2 linked regions of the Tamandua tetradactyla genome follow. The protein of the gene in region 1 binds, or shares a complex with, the protein of each later gene. Links are inferred from orthologs where the notes say so. Each region holds a gene or a part of one and is shown on either strand. Other genes may lie near its edges.

The links. The genes of interacting proteins can lie anywhere in the genome.
Region 2: IRF2BP2 (region 1) and BANP share a complex: the UniProt entries of both Homo sapiens proteins name them as parts of the corepressor complex. The link is inferred for Tamandua tetradactyla from reciprocal best matches to the Homo sapiens genes IRF2BP2 and BANP.

The regions. Positions count from the first base shown.
Region 1 is NC_135333.1:4,779,456-4,786,515, forward strand, and holds IRF2BP2 (interferon regulatory factor 2-binding protein 2), read right to left. Parts: upstream 3,102-7,060; 5' UTR 2,915-3,101; coding exon 1,855-2,914; intron 1,268-1,854; coding exon 552-1,267; 3' UTR 103-551; downstream 1-102. UniProt on the Homo sapiens protein: Acts as a transcriptional corepressor in a IRF2-dependent manner; this repression is not mediated by histone deacetylase activities. Represses the NFAT1-dependent transactivation of NFAT-responsive promoters.
Region 2 is NC_135342.1:82,348,136-82,355,409, forward strand, and holds the start of BANP (protein BANP), read left to right. Parts: upstream 1-4,221; 5' UTR 4,222-4,335; intron 4,336-7,274. UniProt on the Homo sapiens protein: Controls V(D)J recombination during T-cell development by repressing T-cell receptor (TCR) beta enhancer function. Binds to scaffold/matrix attachment region beta (S/MARbeta), an ATC-rich DNA sequence located upstream of the TCR beta enhancer.

The DNA.
Region 1 (7,060 bases):
ACTTCACAACAGTGCCCCTTTCACTCATTTCCTTTCCTTCACCATTGGCCTCTAGCCTGAGAAAGGGGCCAGCAATAAGGAATAACAGACAGTAAGGCAATCTTACAATGTCAGAAAATGTATTTGGCTTTTTTTTTTCTTTTTAAAATAAGTGCATACAAATACAGCTAGAAGCATTTCTGATTTGCCAAGTGCTCTAAAAAAGCAGCGCAAGTCACAGCCTACATTGAACAGTAACTGTCACCAGAATAATAAAGCACAAAGATATGCTAATAACATTAACAAAAGAAGAAAATGCCTTTATAAGTACATACCTTTTGTCGTCAAAAAAAAAAAAATAGAAACACAATGTATTCAAAAAAAAAATCAAAATTATACAGCCATGTTTATGAAGTCTACATTTCCCTTGTCTTGGATATATGTGTGTGTGTGTATGTATATATATATGTTATACACACACACACACACATACATATATGTATGGAGATATATATACAATTCAAGCAGTTTTAGTCAAGGGCAATCATTGGGTTTTTCTGAAACCGGAAAAGTCACGAGTCTCTTTCTTTCTTCACTTTCACATCTCCAGCAAGGATGGTTGCAATTTCCCCCTGCATAAAGGCCCATGGGACATTGGAGCCCACAAGAGGGCATTTTTCCCCACTGGGACAATAGACCTCTCCACTAGCTCCCTGCTGTTTGATGCTTTGTCTGGAGCAAGGGAAGCAGAACTTGTGCGAAGGGACGGAGGGGCACTGCACAAAGTGGGTGTCCTCCAGCCGCTCGTGGCAGAGGGTGCAGCACAGTGGGGCACTGGCTGCCAGAGAAGAGTCCGGGAGGCTGGCAGGGTGCACTGGCTCCAGTCCTCCTGTGGTGCTTGCCCCCTGGCCGCCCACATCTCTGGGGCCCAGCCTTCTTTGGTTCATAGAGGACGGAGAGGGTGGACTGCTGCTATTCCTCCTGGTAGTGGAGTGAACCTGGTTGGCATCTTTGGAGGCATGACTGCCCCCTGCATTGTCTGCTACTAAGATCAGGGCTGCCATAGGGGACTGGCCATTCTGGGCCGCTTCAGGCGGTGTGGTCCGGTTGGAATGAGGTGAGGCAGTGGGTGGTGGTGGAGACACAAAAGAGGATGTAGGAGTCATAGGGATCTTGAGCCCTTCTGTTGAGGTGGACAGCCACGGCTGTGCCTCTCCATTGATTTTAGGGGCCCCAACATCACCTTCTGGTTCTGGAGAAGGCTTCCTTTTCCTTGCTGTTCTTGCAACTGCGAAAACAAAGAAAAGGAAAAGAGGGGATAAATAAAGATGCACTGAAAATCATTCTTTTATCAAAGTGAAACAAACCTCATTAGGCAATTTTTATTCTCTAAAAGCATTATATGTATAAACCCGTGTTTCCAGCTTAAGTGCAACTTGAAACACTTATCTTTAAGGAGCTCTGAAATAACTATCTATTAAAAAGAAACCAAGTTGCAGGAAATGACATGTATAAAAGTGCCTGTTTTTAAACTGCATTAAACTGGATGTGAAATTACACATGCATACATGTACCCCAGTTTGAATTGTGCATGTGATAATGTCCCCAGACAGGTTAAAAGGTGACCGGTGCCCTCACACTCCCGTCTAAGAATGTGCTGGGAAAGGAAAACCCTGTGTCAGTGCCTATCAGCCCAGTCTGACTCATCTCTGTTATGCTGCTTCAGCACATGAACACGTTGCCACTAAGCACTGGTTCCGCCTCAGGCAGATCAGGAAGTTGGGTGTTTGTTATTTCTGGGGGTTGGGATAGAATGGTGAATGGAAAGAACAGCCCTCTCTCCCCTAGACCCACTCACTCCACAGCCGCCCCTACCTGCTTTAGACCCGTTGGCCCCGTTGGCCTCGAAACCCAACAACCTGCCTGCAGTCAGGGCCGGCTCCTTCTTAAACTTGCTCTCGAAGGGCCCGGAGTGGCCGTGCTGGTGCAGCGCCAGCAGCGTGTCGCGCACGGTCTTGGGCCTATTGACCCAGTCCTGTTCCCCTGGCCCGCGGCCTTTGCCAGTGCCCTCTGCGCCTAGGTCTGTGGCCCCCGCCGCTGCGGACAGGCTGTCGGCCGGACCCCGGTGCGAGGGCGGCGGCGGCTGCTTTTCCTTGGTCGCCGCTTCGCGCTGCTCGTGCTCCACGGCGGCGCTGCTCGACACCGACGCCGGCCGCTTGTGGGCGCCCAGCTCGGCGGGCTGCGCCGGGCCCAGGCTAGCGGCGGCGCCCCCGGATACCGCGGCCAGCGAGGCGGCGGCGCGGCTGCTGAGGCTCAGCGCGGCGGGCAGCGGCGTGGCCGAGCCGTTCATGAGCGGCACCAAGGTGGGCGGCACCGCGTGGCCGCGCCGCGGGTTCGGGCTCTGGCGGTTCAGCTCGGGTGGCTCCTCGAGCTTGGAGAAGCCATTGGGCACCAGGATGCCGTTCACCGGCGGCGGCTGCGGCGTCGGCGGCTGGGGCAGGCCTGTCGCCTGGCGGCTCCCGCTGAAGTCGGATCCGAGGCGCGGAGGGCGCTCGGCCGACGCGGCGGGCGCCAGCGGGTAGCGTTCCAAGGCCTGAGGGGCGCGCGGGGCCGCCTCGGGGCCGCCGTGGCCGAGCTGCTGCTGCTGCTGCTGCAGGAGGATGTCCTTGGCCGAGAGCGGCGGCGGTGCCTTGGCAGCGGCCGAGGCCGCGGTGCCGGGCGGGGAGCGGCCCTCTTGGAAGCAACCGTGCGCCCGCTTCAGCTGCCGGGCCGTCTCGATGACAAACTCGACGCGGTCGGCGCCCTCGTAGTTGACGCAGCCGCGGCACACGGGCTCGGTGAAGTCCCAGATCATGGCCCAGGGCATGCGGGGTAGGTCACACAGGTAGCATGACTGTCGCCGGGACGCGGCCGCCACCGCCACCGCCGCAGCCATGTCCGAGGAGCCCGCGGTGCAGCAGCAGAAGGAGGAGGAGGAGGCGCCGCCGCCCCCCGCCGGCAACACACGCGCCCTCCTCCCCCCCCAACCTCGCGGCTCCCCCACCAGAGGCGGCGGCGGCCGCAGCGGCGGCGGCGGCGGCAAAGCCCGCGAAGGTTCGGCGCCCGCACAGCGCCCCCGGTGCACGAGAGGCGGGGGGCGCGGGGCGAGAGGGTGCAGCCGCGGCAGCAGGTCCCCCCGGCGGGTGCGGGCGGGCTGTGGGGCGTCGCGGCGCGGCGGGCGCTGCAGCGGGGGCTCGGCCGGGGCTGCGGCGGGTCTCCAGACCGGGGCGAACACGGGCCGCGCGGACGCGGGGGAGTGCAGCAGGTCGCGGCGGCCCGCGCTAAGTGAGGGGCGGGGGGCGGGGAGGTCGGGGGGGCGGGGGGAGGGGGGCGGCCGCCGGGGGAGGCTCAGCCCGAGTGGCGGGGCATGCCGCGCCGAGGCGGCGGCGACCGGTGCGCGTGGAGTTAGGACGCAGCGCGGGCTCCCGGGTCGCTCCGCCGCTCACTCACAACTCCTGCCGTCGCCGCTCTGCCTGCGCGGGCGTCAGCGCCCTACCCGCTTCAGCTCCGCCGCCGCCGACGCTGCTGCTGCTGCTGCCGCCGCGGCCGCTCCACTTCTACAGACTTGATTCTTCGACAGCCTCGCACGGCGCCTGCGCGCAGCGCCCCCTCCCCTCGCGCGCGCGCCCGCTGCTCGCGCCCTGGCGCTCGTCCCCCTCCCGCCCCGCGCGGCGCTCCGGGAACTTGTGCCAGGAGCAGAGCGGCAACAACCAGCTCCCCTCTCGGAGTGCTGGCTCCTCTGCAGCCGCGGTCGAGAGGGAGGAGCGGAAAGGCTTTCCAATGTGAATGTGATGCAAATGTTGTTTTTCTTTTCCTCCACTTTCCTTTCCTCGCTCTCCACTCGGCTATATCGACTTGTCAGTCAGGGCTTTTTCCCCCGCCTCATGTCCTTTTTGGTCGAATCTCGGTAAAACCGTGTTTGTTTGTTTTGTAAACGATGCCACTTTGCTACTTGGTTTCTGCCAATAAGCTCTGGAGGATGGAAACTTTAAATCTAGCGTGATTTACACAAGGGTTTTTTTTTTTTTTGAGTTATATTTGAAATCCGAATGAAGGACGCGTAGTTACAAAATCAGGGTAGCATGCCTTTACACTTTTGTTTTGTTTCGGAAAAAGCCACATGCACCATTTGTACCGTTTAAGTTTTACAGACACTGAAATGTTTCCCAAACAATGACAGGGTTAAAATGCCTCCGGTTGCAGTGTGGTTGATGAGTTGTGTCAGTTCTATCGTAATTACAGATTTCAATTATTAAAATTTCTGATGAAAACAAAAAAAAATTCCGTCCGGTTGGCCTGTGAATTTTTCATTAAGTCCCCTTGGAAAGGGAAAGGAAGCGCCGTATAAATAACACCCTCACTGATAGATCTCGTTTCTAGGGTAGCTGGTGCAGGAACACAGCCAATGGACAAAGTTTTTCTTCTCTGCCACGTTACGTTACTCCTTCCTTCCTCATCCACCGATTTCCCCAGGAGCTCGGGACCCGCACCGTACGCAAGGGGACCCTTGAGGGTCGCTCAAGAGGCCGCGCCGACCGCGCCGGGCGGCTACGGGCCGGGCGGGGCGCGCGGGCCGCCTTATGTAGGTTAGAACGGGGGCAGGGAGCCGCCGTGACGTGCGCGCCGCGGCCCATGTGCCGCCGCCGCGGCCGCGGACTGCGCATGCTCCGCACGGACGTGACTCTATGCAATTGGCACTTGCAGCCTCATTAAACGAAATGCACATTCCAGGGATCCGGGGAAACAGAGCGCGATCTATAGCCAGCGCCTCCGCGTCACGGCGCAGGCACCGCCCCCCTCCCCTCCACCACCCCCACCCCCCGCCTGCTATTTCTGGGCCTTCAGGTCCCTCCCTCAGCCCTGCTAAACTTTTTACTCAATGTAGCGAGAGGCTCTAGTACAGTGAAGAGAGTGGGTGAAATGCCGCGGTGACGGCCTGCGAGGTCCCCGCCAGCGCAGAAGGGTGTGCGGCTGCCCCTCCGTAGAGGGAGACTCTCTGGGGCTGGTTTAGGGGCGACTACACGACGGTTGTCGTGGAGGGGCGGGGGCTGTTCGCAAGGCGGCGCTTACTTGGTGCCGTGATGGAGGGGCGGGCGGTTTTGTCCCTGTCTGGAGGCCGACACAAGTTTATCCTCAGGTGCCAACAAACCCGCCTAGCGCGAAGGGTTTGCGATTGCAGACCCGCGAAGACCGCGCTTGCCTGCAGCTGTTGCGGTTATATAGACTCGAGCCCGACTGAGTTGAACACTTGAGTTTCATACTTTTATCGGGAGGAGGAGCTGATTTGTTTTCTGGTAAATCACTTGTGGCTGGTCATTAGTCTTACTGACTAATAGACGTGGGCTTAGTCACTCAATTGGGATTTATACACTGCAGCTCTGAAGGGCGGCCTCGGGAGCTTCTTTTGTTAGGAACGTAGGCCCACATCTTTCCCTTCGACTGGAATGAGCTGGCTAAGTGTGAAGTACTAATTACATGATCTTTCCTACAACTGGATTGGTAGGTAGAGAGAGGGAAAAAATCCTGCTGACGTTTCTCTTGTTGCTGTTGAAAATGCCAGGTTGGTCGAAGGGATTAACCACAAGGAAAAGGGGGGAAAGCCCTCAGAGAAACAGTGGGGGGTGCTGCTTAAAGCATATGAAAGAAAAAAAAAACGCTCTAAATGGCAGAAAACGCAATGCCAGACGGAAATGTTTTTTACAGGCTAACCTGAATCAGTCTTTTCTTGAGAATATCTAGAGAAAAAGGTGCGCACGCCTAAATGACTCCCCATGGTGTGTGTGTGTGTGTGTGTGTGTGTGCATGTGTCCGCCCCCCCCCGCCCCGCCTTGCCCTGCAGTTGCAATCCCGCCTCACCCTTGCTTGTAAACTGGGAGAATGGAGCCCGCCCACATCCCTCCTGAGAGCTGCGGGCACGCGTGGGGTTGATCACTCCCCGGCACCTGGCTGTGGGGGTAGTGCACCGCCTTCAGGACCTGAGGACCTGTTCCTCCAAGCCACTTTCTGGGCTAAGATCTTAGGCCACTAACTTCAACCTATGACTTGGCCCAAGGTTCCCCCGCCAGAAAGAGACTAACCAACTCAGCACCCCTCCTCCAAGATATCAACCCCCCACCCCCAGGCAGACTGGAACATATTCAAAGAAAATACGTTAGAGCCATCACCAGCGGGCACAGTGATGGACTCAAGGGAAAGCCTACGGCCCCATCCCAAAATAGAAATACTGAAATACAAATTCAGCCTTGAAAGGTTCTAAGGCAGGATCTTTTAGAACAGAGCTTTTCTTCTGCAAAAGAAGAGCACTTCCTTTTCATTTTACATTGCCAGTTTAATGTCGAAACTGAGTTGTTGTAACTTCCCTAACGAAATGCCTGCTGGAAAATAGAAAGGCTATTTTAGTTCTGGGCTCCCCTGCCCTAAAAGGATCCGGGATCAGGAGGGTTAAGACTGGCCCTGGATCCAGGACAGCAATTCCTTATATTGTATCAAAAGTCTTTCATGCTGCCTGGCCTTTCCTGTAGCATTGAGGCAGCTTTATCGATGTATGCTAAGTAAACATAGCTTTGTTTTTGTCTTCCACCCACCGCCCTGCCTCTAGGCGCAGACTGGAGTTGGATCCCTTCCAAAGCGGCTGCTGCAGCAGTTACAGCCGCCTCCTCCACACACAGGAGCAGGGTTTCTAGGGTGAGGCAATGTGTCTGCAATTCACAGAGACAAGGCAGGAATTGTAATTGTACTTCATCATGTGATGACTTATGAAAGAGGAAGTTGGTATGTTTTAGTCACGTAGACTCTGCCCTCTTGCTTAAGGTTCCAGGTCCTCTCAAAAGAGAATTATCGTAATCTTTGCCACTGAGGCTCGAGGTTACGGGGTTTGGATGCAGTGTGCGCCTACACATTCATATGTAGACAGGCAGGCAGAGGCAGTGAGTGTTGGTGAGGCGGCGGGTTGAGCCTGGCTTTAACTAGAACACTGAAATGCTGCCATTTATCTCAAGAACTAAAGGAAGTGTACTGTGGGGAACATTCCTGCTGAGACCAG
Region 2 (7,274 bases), on another chromosome or scaffold:
GGTGATAAAGGATGGCAAAAACAGGACGTTCCAGACACAGAGAAACTATAAACAAGTGAGGAAGTCAGCACCTTTTGACTCCAAACGACCAAGGGTCTTGTTAAGAAGTCACATACGTGGTTCCTCAATAAGTTAAACACAGAGCTACCATAAGACCCAGTAATTCTAGGGAAGTACCCAGAGGACTGAAAATAGGTGTTTCAGCAGAAGTGTGTCCACTCATATTCACAGCAGCAGCGTTCTCAATAGCCCAAGGTGGAAACACTCAAATGCCCACCAACTGAGCAGTGGATATGCAACATGAGGTCCAGCCAGACGATGGGATGCTATTCAACCATGAGAAGGAACGAAGCGCAGACACATACACACTGCACCTTGCATGCTGAGAGAAAGAAGCCAGGCACCAAAGGTCACACATTGGTTGGTTCCATTTGTACGAGATGTGCAGTATGGCAGATTCATCGAGACGGAAAGCAGACGGGTATCCAGGGGCTAGGGGTGGGCGTGGGGTAGGGGGAGGTGACTGCTATTGGGGGCAGGGCTTTCTTTGCAGGGACGGAAATGTTCTAGAACAAAATCATGGTGACGGTTACACAAGATCATGAATGTACTCAATGCCACTGAACTGTACACCTTCAAAAGGTAAATATTATGTGCATTTTGTCACAACTAAAAAGAAAGAGGGGAAAAAGAAGTCAAGGAGAGTGGCAATCTGCAGACAGACTGGAGGTTATTACACGGTTTAGGCAAAGGCCCAGCCCTTGGAGCTTACGAAGTGGGCCATGGCACTGCTATGACTACTTCATTAGTAGATGCATCATCTACGTCTTTCATGTAGATACAGGTAACAACATTTCTGGGACTGAGTGTCCCCTTGTGCCAAGTGCTGCAGTAAAGGCTTTCTATGACGGGCTTCTAAACTCCGTCAGGCACCACGAGGCAGGTTTTATCATCCTACTGCACAGACAAAACAGAAAAGGTGTGTGTGTGTGTTGGGGGGGAGGTGGGCAGGGAATCACCAAGGGGCCCGTGACCGTGAGGGTCTGGTGTCAACTTGGCCAAATGCTGATGCCCAGTGGTCTGGTCAGGCACTCACTGGCCTGACCGTTGATGCAGAATACTCTGTGGCTGGTTGATGAACCAGAGGGCTGGTGGATTAAATCATCAGTCACTTGACTGCATCCATGGCTGATCACATCTGCAATCAACTAAGGCATGTGCCCCATAATGAGATAATCCAATCACCTGAAGGCTCTTTAGGGGAGAGACTCTTCCACTGCTTCTCCAGCCACGAGCCTTTCCGTGGAGTTCATCTAGACCCTTCATCAGAGACAACAGCCTTACATCCTGCCGATGGGTTTTGGACTCTTCCCTTCTCAGGGTTGCATGCGATGCCTTTATACATCTCATATTTGTAGATCTCTCCTGTGGGTTCTGTTTCCCTAGAGAGTGCTGACTGCCCCAGGTCCCGTGGAGTGGCCAACCACCAGGAGGGGATGTTCAGGGTCAGCAACACCGTGGCCAGGTGATGATGCCTGTGCCCAAGCCTGGCGACTGTCCTGGCACCATTCCCTGCTCCCTGCTCTGAACCAGACTCATCTTCAGGTCCCGATGACTCTGTCCCCTTCCCTATACGCGGACTCCACTGCGACATGGCCTCTGGCCTGGACCCAGCCTCCGCTGGCCTCTCCCCCAGCTCCTCGGGTGCCTTCTAATCCATTTTCCAGCCCTCGGGCCAGGGTGACCTTTCAAGATGCCAATCTGCCAGGCCTACTGTGGTCCAATGCCCTGCAGATGCCCCACTGTTTTGGGATAAGGATGGACCCCTCAGGGCTGGCTGGCCTCCACCTGCGTCCTGGGCCAGACCTTCGGCTCAACCCTTCACTGACCTGCGTCCTGCGAGGGACAGCTCCCTGCAGAGGTGCCCTCAGTGACCCCGTGTGAACTGAGATCCCTCCAGCCCCCATGTGCTAGACTCCAGGCCACTGTACAGGAAATTGGATTGGGTTCTCGCACTCATTGTCTGACAAGGGCAAGGGCCCCCCTGGTGACTAAGCGGAACTTTATTGGAAGGTAGCCGGCTTGGCCGATTACTACCTATCCAATTTTAAAAATCATGGCTCATCACCAGATATCAATATTTTAATAGCACCTGCCTCTATCTTAGTTTATGGGGCAGCAATATGAAAAATAAATGAACTAAAAAAATCTAAAGAGAAGCCAATGAGTTCAACATAACTGTAATTATAATTGTGATCACCTTAATTTCTGATACAGTGCTAATCTGCAATGATTTGGAAGTCTTTAGCTTTTAGTCTATTGGATGGTTCAGAATGTGTCAACCTTTATCATTCCTTCAGGCCTTCAGTCATTCCTGCCCGCCCAGCAGGGGCCTGGGGGCCGCAGGCGATGCCCACAGGAGGGGGTGCTACTGACAAGGGATCCACAAGGTTCCGACACAAGATGAAAAATATCACCTCCAGTTTATCCGCCTTCTAGTCTGACTTTCAGGATCCACGTGAAGAATTCTTGCCTATGTAAATGTGCGAGTTTTGGCAGTGTTTGGGGTGGAGGTGAGAGGAGGGGGTAAGTTTCCCCTCCACGCCCCCGGGAAATTTTCGGGGCTTACTTCTGCAGCCTCTCCTCCCCACCTGATCTGGCCCAAGACCGGGTTCCAGCTGAGGGGCTGTGAACTCCAAACTCGGCCTTTTCCTGTTTCCAGCTGCATGACCCTGCGCGGCCCGTCCGACTGCATGACCTGGCCCGTCCGGCTGCATGACCCTGCGCACGGCCCGTCCGGTTGCATGACCCTGTGCGCGGCCCGTCCGGCTGCATGACCCTGTGCGCGGCCCGTCCGGCTGCATGACCCTGTGCGCGGCCCGTCCGGCTGCATGACCCTGTGCGCGGCCCGTCCGGCTGCATGACCCTGCGCGGCCCGTCCAGTTGCATGACCCTGCGCGGCCCATCCTGCTGCATGACCCTATGCGCGGCCCGTCCGGCTGCATGACCCTGCGCGGCCCGTCTGGCTGCATGACCTGGCCCGTCCGGCTGCATGACCCTGCGCGCGGCCCGTCCGGTTGCATGACCCTGCGCGCGGCCCGTCCGGCTGCATGACCCTGCGCGGCCCGTCCAGCTGCATGACCTGGCCCGTCCGGCTGCATGACCCTGCGCGGCCCGTCCGGTTGCATGACCCTGCGCGGCCTGTCCCTCATCTGGAACAAGGGGCGATTTCGTGGTAGCCTGCAGGTCTTCCCACACCTTTTGCAGCGCGGGCCCTCCGTGGCTCTCTGAACCGTCTCAAGGCACGTGGCGGGAGGAGGCCGGGGCGCCGGGCGGGAGGCGCCTCGGGCTGGGCAAGGCCGCCCAGCTGCGCGGTTTGAGGCGGGGTCAGTGCGAAACGCCAGGTGAGTCGCTTTCTTCTGCCAACACGAAACTGCTCCGTCGCTTGTGTTTGCGAGATCGAAGTGATTCCTCCCACTGCGAACAGCGCGAAGCTCGGGGCCGGCACGGCCGGGAGGAGAAGCCGCGGCATCTCGGCGCGCAGCGGGAAGCGGGCACGTTTCCGCGGGTGTCCCGGTCCCGCGCGGTGATATGGCTCGGGGCTTTTTTCCTATGAGAACCCCAAAAGTCACACTTACGCCATACAAGATGAAATTTATATCCATATTAGTATGTCGTGCGTTTATATTGCATAAAACAGACATTATATATTACATATGAAACAAAGATTATATCTATGCGGGACGCACGGGGGGCCGCGAACGCAAGCCTCCTGAACTACAAGTCCCAGCAGCCCGTGCGGCGGGACGGGACGGGGCGGCCGGAGGACGGAAAGACTACAAGTACCGGCAGGCATGGGTCGGGCGGTGGGACTACGAGTCCCAGAATGCATTGCTAGGAGCTTGCGCAGGGCATCCTGGGATACGTAGTCACCCGCGATGTTAATCCTCGTCATCCATTTTCAAAGACCCTGCAAATCCCTCAAACGACCCACTGAGACAATCGTTCACGGACTAGCAAGGAGACCGAGTATATAGGGGGGAAATAAGAACCCAGGAGGCCACAGATCCCGTGAGGGAGTGTAGAACGCGTGCGCATGCGCACCGTCGTGTGAGCGGCGAAAAGGCGCACCGGCGGACGCGGAGCAGTAGGCCCCACCCGCGGGCTCCGCCCCCTGGCGGCGGCGCGCGCACTGAGTCTGCGCAGAGTGCGGAGGCCCGAGGGCCGCGGGGAGGGACGCGCGGCGCTTGCGCAGAACGGCGGCTTCTCTCGCGAGGACGGACGCCATTATCGCATCTCCCCGACAAACACCACGAGAATTCCGCAGCCCACACGGTAATTGCAGCTCCCGCAGCCGGTCGCGTCTCCGCCTCCCCCCCTTCCCGCGGGGCGAGAGCGAGAGCGAGATCTCCCCCTCCCTCCCGCCCTTCCGCCCTCCGCCCGTCCCTGGCCCCGGCCGCCCCGTCGCCCCCGCCGCGTCCCCCGTCGGCCCCGCCAACGGTCCCGCCCGGCGGCCTCGGCCCCCGGCGCCGCGGCCCGCACCGCCCCGGCCTGCCCTCGCCTCCCGCCTCGCGGCCCACCCGCCGGGCCCTCTTCCGCGTTCTGTGCCGGCGGGGGCCGCCCTCCGCCTGAGCTGGAAGGGGAGCTCGCGGTGCCCGGCGCCCAGAGATGGAAGGGCCTGCGGCGGGGAGCTGGGCGCGCCGCGTCGGCCGCGTATCGGTGGTTTTGCGGTTGCCTTTCCCCCCTTCCCCCGAGCGGCGTGGGGTACGTACGGACCCGGCCAGGGACGGCTGAGCGCGCCCGCTTGGCGCGGTGAGGTGTTGCCAGGCCCGGGCCGCCCCGCGCCTCGCGCTCCCCTGGTCCCCAGGTTCCCGTTAGCCGTGGAAGGGCGCCGGGGGTTCAGGCGGACCCGTTGGCCGTGGCTTTTCCCACCTGAGGGAGGCGGCGAGTGCCGGGACGTGCGGAGCCCTGGTTTGACTCGCAGGCCGAGGACGGGGCGCTCCGGGCTGCGGGCACACCGCCTGCCCTCCCTGGACTTCGGGGTCGCCCTGGGCGCATGCACGGCTCTGGCTGTAAAGTTAGGGCATGCTTGGGTTTTCACTTTTCTGGGTAATCGGGAAAATCTGGAACGCACAACACCCCCGCGTTCATCGTGTGCCATAAACGTCATGGGGTGTCGTAGACTTAATTTCTTTGGACTCTTTCTCTACTTTTTAAGTTACTAAAGTGAAATGGCACACTGGTAATCCAGAACACTTGTGATTCTGATGGTTGCAAAGGCAAATAAGGTGCAGTCTTAGAAGTAGGAAACGTCCGACTTGAGAGATGATCTAATCCAGTTGGTTGAGGATTTCGGGGTTTTTCCCCCTGTACTCTTCTTATTTCTGAAATGTAATTTTTTTGAAATGTGGCTTTAGTTTTTTCTCCCCTTCCCCACCCCAGGCTGCAAAAAGTAGATGCAAGTTCCATTTCCCATTATGTGAGCACAGTGGAGACACTGCCTTAATAGAGGAGTAATTTCCGAATGATGAGATGGTAGGGATTGGGTTGGCATTGGAGAAATGAATGCTGCCCGAAGAACTGTGACAACTGTGGCCTTTCAAGGATAGGGAGCTTGCCTTTAAGTTGTGGAGGGCCAAGTTCGAGTCTCCCGATGTGGGACAGGTAATTCCTCTCTCTTCTGCCCCAGGACTCAAGGCCTATTAGCTTTGATAAAACTGGCACTGTAATAAACTTGATGAGAGGAGACAGGAGTTAATTGTTCAAGAGACAGAAAAGAACCCAGAATAGAGCTAGTGAGGGGCACATTCAGTCAGAAAGTAGATGGCCCAGTGATTTAACATTCTGCTTTTAGGACAGTGTGTTGTGTGCCAGCTTATGATCTGGAGTGGTGAAAGGAAACACCAGAATTGCCTGTAGCGTTAATTCTACACATATACGTCCATTTTCTTATTGTCTTGCAGTGGGAAAGGGTTCTGATGCCCAGGGGTCCACTGAGACTGTTGGATTCTAGTATTGTTGGCTTTACTTTTTAAAGAAACAGCTGCCACTTGCGGATCATATACTGTGAGCTGGGCCTTTCAGATGTGTTCCAACCGATTTTAGTCCCAGGACCAAACACGCCAGGCAGAAGATTACCCATGAGATTTAATTAAGGACTTAAAAACAGGAGACAATTCTTCCCAGTGGCAGCTACTTCCCAGTTGGGAAATGGAAGAAGTGCTCCACACAAAACAAGAGGATGCCAAGGGGCAGCTTATAAAGTTCGGCAGAGTCCTGGAAGAGCCGCTTAGAGCAGGGCTTGGGCAGACTCCGAGAGTTGGTTACCGACCATGACAGGGGGCGGCAACCTTCAGTGTCCGCTCTGGTCATGCTGGAGCTGCAGCATGTGCTTGAGGCTCCATTCATTCTTTCTTTCCCTAACCCCTGGTAGGAGCTGTCCCCATTTCACCAATGAGGAGACTGACACCCATGCCGGCTGAGTGCCGTGCCCGAGTCACATAGCCAGTGTTTGAACCCACCCTGCCAGAAGTGTTTTAAAGGAAATAACACACACCCACAGTGAGCATTTTTTTTTTTCATTTGAGTAAGGTACACAAGAAAAGTAGCAGCCCTTGTCCCAGTTCTTGGTACCCTTCCTCAAAGACGTGAAACTTTTATTTGTTTCTTCAGATAGTTCTCCATAGCTCAAGGTAATAACTTTTGTCCATTTTACCAACTTAACTTCTGCTGTGATGGGCCGGTTTATCTCCCCATACTATATCCCCTCTCTTCTCTCTCCTCATGTTCAGTTAATGCAGTTATCTATAGCATGACTGATGAAAATATTGTTTGCTTCACAGCTGCATGATGCATTTGCCTTCATGTACAGCTTTCGTTTTTTTCTTTTTTCTGTAAGGTCCTTTCTTTCTCTTCTTAAATAATGTTTTAAATTCTCAAGGAGAGTATCAAATCTCCAACCTGGAGTCCTCTGTCCTCTTTGTCTAATTACTCTTGACGCCCTCACAGGTATCATCGTGGATTTTTTCTTTTACACACTTTTGGGTTTGTTGAGGATAACTTGTCTTAAACTTGGCTTCTTAGTTTTAATGAAAAACCTGCCAAGAAGACTTCTATTCCTTTTGGGTGACTTTCTCCCTCCCGACAAGATTTTAGCATCTTCTCTTTGATGTTAGACATTTAACAGTGTGCCAAGGGATGAGGGTTTGTGCTCTGAATGCTCTCTGCATCTGCGTCTTTAAGCTCTGGGAAATTTTTTTGTATCATTTAAATGA